2 linked regions of the Xenopus tropicalis genome follow. The protein of the gene in region 1 purifies or fractionates together with the protein of each later gene. This does not show direct contact. Links are inferred from orthologs where the notes say so. Each region holds a gene or a part of one and is shown on either strand. Other genes may lie near its edges.

Evidence for each region.
Region 2: the proteins of casp10 (region 1) and faslg purify together in Homo sapiens (co-immunoprecipitation; 3 studies listed by BioGRID and IntAct, with this or other methods). This does not show direct contact. The link is inferred for Xenopus tropicalis from reciprocal best matches to the Homo sapiens genes CASP10 and FASLG.

What each region holds. Positions count from the first base shown.
Region 1 is NC_030685.2:53,954,956-53,958,792, reverse strand, and holds part of casp10 (caspase-10), read left to right. Parts: intron 1-923; 5' UTR 924-963; coding exon 964-1,259; intron 1,260-2,942; coding exon 2,943-2,993; intron 2,994-3,837. UniProt on the Homo sapiens protein: Involved in the activation cascade of caspases responsible for apoptosis execution. Recruited to both Fas- and TNFR-1 receptors in a FADD dependent manner. May participate in the granzyme B apoptotic pathways.
Region 2 is NC_030680.2:107,203,444-107,206,139, reverse strand, and holds the end of faslg (tumor necrosis factor ligand superfamily member 6), read left to right. Parts: intron 1-147; coding exon 148-557; 3' UTR 558-1,928; downstream 1,929-2,696. UniProt on the Homo sapiens protein: Cytokine that binds to TNFRSF6/FAS, a receptor that transduces the apoptotic signal into cells. Involved in cytotoxic T-cell-mediated apoptosis, natural killer cell-mediated apoptosis and in T-cell development.

The sequences.
Region 1 (3,837 bases):
CAGAGATCAGCATGAAAATTTATGCTTTCACATTTTTGGGGATGATTTCTGCTCTGTGTAGCTGTTCTCGGGCCAACTCAATACAGCTAGATACTGGACCGTATTGGAGTGGATCCGCTTCTTTCTGCCTGCCTACAAAATGCGGGCTGAAGAAAGCAGACCCTACAGTTAGTGTAACCTTGCCCTCTGGAGCGAGGCATCAGCCTGAAGGGGAGCTGGGTTTCGTTGTGCATGTTGCTGAGACTGGGGTGGGGTGTAGTGGATGGCTGATGAGGGCAGGGCTGATAAAGTGCACAGCAGCACATAATGGTTGTAAGGCATGCATAAACACAGTTACTTATACATTTCACAAGAGCAAAATGTTGTAGTTTATTAAAAAAAAAAAGTATTGTATTATGCTAATAACATATATAACATATGAGGCACTTTTCAGTAGTCAGGGGCCACTGTGAGGTCTTGTGTGCTAACCCCATGAACTCCTCACCAACTCCAAATAATATTCACAGGCTATAAGCAAGTTCAACAGCATAACAAAAATGCACCAGCCCCCCCACCTTCGGAGAGGCCAGGAACACAGCTGCCTAGCTGCCCCCTCATCCCTCCGACTCACAGGTGCGAGCGCCCCTCTGCTGATAATTTCCAGGACTAGAGCGGCTGTAGAGGAAGAAGAACCCATGGTCTGGACCCTGATCTCTGCCACTGAACTGGTGTTTAAGGAAAATGGGCCAAAATGCGACATATAATGCTGAAACTCTGGCTTAAAATCTGAGAAATGTTTACTTTAAAATATAGTATAAAATGAAGGGCCTTCAAAAAAATGTCCTGGAAGGATCCAGGAAAACAAAAATGGGGGGTTTGACTGTATATTAATTTACTAAATTTACTAAAACTGAATCTTTATATTTCTATATCTCTTTTGTTAGGTGGAGCTGACACTTACCCTGCACCTCTGCACTTTCTAAGATGGATTTCAATTCTATGCTTCTAAGTATTGATGATGGATTAGGACGAGAAGATATAGAGGCTTTAAAATTTCTCTGCAGGGATGTCCTCAGGAAAAATAAATTGTTGTCTGTACGGTCTGGCCAGGAACTTTTTCAGCAACTCATGACCGAAGATTTAATAAATGAGGACAATTTTTTTCTGTTAAAGGAACTTTTATACATTATTAATCACCACAGCCTCCTCCGTAATCTTGGCACAAATAAAGAGAAAGTGCAGAAAGCTCTTCCACGCCAGGGGAGAATATCACCTTATAGGTATGATGTCCTCTATTTCATATGGATTATATTATAAAACTAACAGATCAGGAAAAATAGTACACTAATAGGTTAAATTAAATTTTTAATTCATTATCCCGGTGGGCCCAGGTCCACCCCCTGCTGGCTTGAACTTGTGCCTTATAAAATAGATGCAACATGATGTGTGTGTGTGCGTGCATGTATGTATGGGGAGCTTGCTGTAAGTCCAACCTTGGGTACACTTATTATGGAGTGCTCCACTAGTATCCTGGGCTGGTACAATTTTCAGCAACATGGGGCTCCTGCCTGGGGACTCAAATAAGTGATTATCAGTGGGGGTAATGTTTGGTTACATTAACTGTGAATGTTCCAGATAAAACACTTTCTTTTTCATGCAGGTTTTAATCACACTAGGGATTTGCAATTGGTCTTTATTTTTTTTAAAAATTTGTTTTGGTAGTATCCCGGGCTAGTGCAGTTTTCAGCAAACTGGAGCATCTTTCTGAGGTCTCAGATAAGTCTTAGTCAGTGTGGGGTGCTTAACAAATTGCCACTCCCCAGTGATTGTTCTGCTTTTTAATAATTTGTTAAGTCAACTGAGCTTTATCAGTAGTTACTAGTAAAAAACATGATGTTCCAGATTAAATAATTTCTTTTAAATGCAGGTTTGAATCATTCTGGTGATTGGTAATTCGTCTTCGTTTTTCAATTTCTTGTTGTGTATTAATTATTTATTTTTTCCGCAGCTCCCCAGTATAGAATTTCGAATGTTATATGGTTGCACGGTTCTCTATTAATCTAGCAACCAAGAAGTGGTTAAAAAGATTGGAAAATGGTTAGAAGAGAGTCTGAATAGGCAGATAAGCAATAAAAAGTAACAATAATTATAAAACTTACGCTTTAAAAGGGCAAAAGGGGCATCTGCCCAGGGCCCATTGACTGTGCCACTTTTATTTTCTTGCTATCCCCCTGGCCCTAAGATATGTGACAAGTGTAACCCCCCTTACCACACCGGGTATTTACCAGCCAGCACACATATATAAAAGACATGCATATGCTAGAGTGTAACGGTTGACACGTGACAACGCACTGTAGGCAGTGCTTGTGGTTTTCAGCAACTATATGCTGTGACATAGCCAGGCCTGCTGGTGTGCAGCCTCAAAGGAGATATATGGGATAACTTAAACCCCCTCCAATCTTGTAGCAATAATGTATAATTTATGGTGCTGGTTTCACTTTGGTCTAACAAATTAATATTGTCTTTAAAAATGGCCCCTTTATTGGAGCTCCCTATAGATCTGCTACGGTCCCTGTCCCAAATAAGGGGTGGGTGGTCCCTGTCAGAAGCACAATAGTATGGTCTGCACAGCCCTGCAGTCACACAAGCAAAGACAGGCTTCAGTTCCCTCTCAGGTCAGTCTAACTGCTGATTGGTTCCTATCCTACAGTGTAAATGCCACCATTCCCCCCCCCCCCCTGCACAGCCTAGGAAAGGAGAGTGCATGAAGTGGAACAGTTGGGCAAGACTACCAGGGTTTTTGCAGATTTTTTTTACTAAACACAACTATTTAAAGTACATTCCTTTTATATTTAAAGGAGAAGGAAATTTAAATCACTAATAAATGTACTGGCCCAGGATATTTCTGCAGATAAAACTTGTCGCCATCTTCTTCGGAATGTTCCCTCTTCTTTTCATTCCAGTTGTGGCAGGCACATGCGCAGTAAAGGGAAAGCCGAACTTAGAAAGAAAAGGTAAGACTCTTTGACTGTAATGCGCATGCCCGTGCTCCGGTGAAAAGAAGAGAAGGACAAATTATTGTGCAGAAATACCCCAGTCTGGTGCAGTTTTCTGCTAACAGGGTTAGTATCAGGTAAGCTATTACAATCACTGCCTACTCCCTAGTGATTTAGACTTTCCCTCTCCTTTAACCCTTTAAGTGCCACACAACATACTATCTGGGTTTGGGAGCGGAGGAGCACTTGTTCCGTTCCTTCCCCAGCCCCTAGGCAACGAGTAGAGGTGGGGAACAAATGGCCCCTGGGGCATGATCACCCAGGGGCCCCTAGGCAACAGCAAGCACGTGGTTACTATGTGCCTGCTGTTGCTTGCACTTTCTACCCACCCCCCCCAGTGCGAATACTCATAGAATCTGCAGGAAAGATGGCTCCTCCTGTTCCTGGGTTCCTCCTGTGAATCTCTAGCCTGCTTCTCTAGCCTCCCCAGGTTAATGTCACATACACATGCAAACACACACTTACTACACTAATACACACTTATACTTACACGCACATATACATTTTGGGGGGATTTAACACATTCACAGCACTCACACTTAGGGGCTAATTTACTTATTTACGAACGCCCCGACCGTTCGCTCGATCGGTCCAATCATATTTTCCGCGACTTTTTCGTACCTTGCATGACTTTTTCGGCGCTTGTGCGACTTTTTCGTATTTTCAGTGCGAAAAAATTGGATTGGATTTGCCGCTGTTTACAATAGTTCGGTACGAAAATTTTGTGACTTTCGGATCACAATACGATATTATCATGACTAATACGATTTTTTCGGAAGCATTTTTGTGATATCTGCGATCT
Region 2 (2,696 bases), on another chromosome or scaffold:
ATAAGGAACATGGATTTTTAAAAAAAAAATAAATTTAAAACTAAACAGAAGTCCTATATATTATACTGATTCCGAGGGAGGATGTATATAGGTGTGTACTGCCCCATTACCATATATATTATTATTATTTTAAAAATACCTTTTCAGGTAAAGAAGGTAAAGAAGGTAAAGAAGGACCCACTTTGCCATTAGCATGGGAAGAAACATTTGGACGCGCTTTTACCTCTGGCATCCAGTACAAAAACAGAGGTCTAGTGGTGAACCAGACTGGCCTGTACTTCCTTTATTCATCTATTTACTTCAGAAGCACTTCCTGCCAGAGTAAAGAATTGTCCCATACTGTCTACAAGAAGTCCAAGAGGTACCCTGGAGAGCTCATACTGATGCAAAATACAGAGTATCAATACTGCACCTCCAATAACAAATGGGGAAGGCACAGTTACCTTGGCTCTCTGTTTAACTTCACCACGGATGAAACAATCTATGTCAATGTCTCTGATGTTAAACTTGTCGGTTTTGATGAATCCAGGACATTCTTCGGGCTTTACAAACTCTGACAATGTTGGAGTGCTCAAAGGAATTATAACTTACCTTAATACAATGGACAGTGTTGAATGTTAAAATTGAAAACAAGCTATATGAATATGACCTGCTCATAATATGTAACTGTTATACAGTGTGATCATTTTCCAGAATTCTGCAACCAACAATGATACCAACTGACATCAGTGTTGTAATACATGTAGATCTCAATGAGAAAGTCAGTTCCATTATTTCTCACTGTAGCATCCCTGACTTTTTAAACACGGTACGTGCTTTGACATAAACATGCAGGGCTTGTTCAAATACAAATGAATATGGCTTTCCAACCAAATTTACCCATCATGAATTATTTTCACTAAAAGTCCTCAAAGTCCACATTGATACAATATTACATATTGCCAACTCATATCCTGGATGCAATTACACTTCACTATACAAAACCTTTTCAAGCACAGAAATGGCCAAATATTATGTTAAAGAACCACTATTTGTATGTTTAATGGCAAACATGCCAATGATCATGCTTGTTGCTTATAGCAGTCCAAAAGTACAGAGGATGACCGGACAGAAAGAGAACTGAAAGCATTAAACACCTTGTACAAGAGAAGAACATGTATTACTCAAAAGGAAACAGAATGTACAGCAGAGATAGGAAAGTGCGGGATTCTGTTTAAAAGAATATGCGCGGCCGCAGAGTTCCTGCCCAACCACTCTCAAGTCATCAAGTCAAGTGAGATGTATGAAATGAGAATATGAGAGCTCCAGTTTGATTTGCTTGTGTTATGTGGGCAATACATTACAATGGAATTAACCAGCCCTAGAAATGATTACGTTGTTCCCAATGTAGCATGGTATCAGTATCAGTCACTGTTGAATTCTAAAGGTTTCTGAAGTAAAGCAGGCTATGTTAACTAAACAGGGCTAGATGTACTGTTTAAATGACACTAACAGGTGTCCCTTATTGTAAATATATAGATATATAATTTACTAGACTATTTATTTAAGATGTACTCCATGTAGTAGCCTGCTATATTATGATGAATATAAAAGTGAAAATACAAATTTAAATTGTGTGCTAATTAGTATGATTGTTCATGTGATACTGTAAACTGATTACTTTACTGGACATCAACATTTTCTGGGTTAAATTAATTCATGTTAATAAAATCTAACTTTGGGGTTAAGAAGAGTTAGTTTGTTCATCAATTTCTAACATTACTGGTGCTTTCAGGTATAGCTTTCCTTATCCAAAATGTATATTTAAACAGCCTGGACACTTTTTTATTTCTATATATTTTTTGTTTATGTTAGTTACAATGAATACACCCACAGATATTTATTAGGTATACTTGGCTATACAAATATCAGTTTTTGGCAAGAATAAACTCCTTATAAAAACAAGCCTTTTCTTTATTACATAGGGGTGAATTAGATGAGCATAGCTTTCTGTGTGTACTTTAAATTTATTATCTATTTAATGTTATATTTATGAGTAGCTAATATCATACTGCTTACCAGTGATGGTTAATAATAAGACTCATGCCTCGTTTCTATAAAAAAATAGGTATAGAATTGCTCCCATTAGCTTGCCATACAAAAAAGGGGGGCATTTACCAAAATTCACATTTTATTTGTTTTAACAAATCATGTTTTTTGCACTAAACCTTGAAACCATGAAAACCGCCATCTAGAAACTATCAACGTCATGTACAAGTCAGTAGGCAGCTGTCCTGTTTCCAATTGGAAGAGCTTCTTTTGCTTTGTGGTATTAGAGGTTTTGGGATTTTTCAGATTTTCCATTATTGAAAAAACATGAAAAATTTGTGGTTTTCATGTGTTTTTTTTGTTTGTGCTTTTTTTTTATAAGGCTGTTTTAATAACTGATTTATTGTTTTAATTGTGGTTTGAAAAAAACACAAAAATTTGAATTTGGACAAATGGCCCTCCCCTATTTATTAAATTGTGCAGTTTTAATTTTGCAGTGATTCATGTAATTTATGGTAAAAAATTGTGACTGGGAAATTTATCTCAGAAAGTTTTAGGTGGAAAAAATGCAATAATTTTACTACCAACTTAGGTAGCAATGCGCAAAAATTGAGTAAATTGTTCTCTAAAATGAAAGCGTAGAGCAAGCAATCATTTTGCTTTCATTT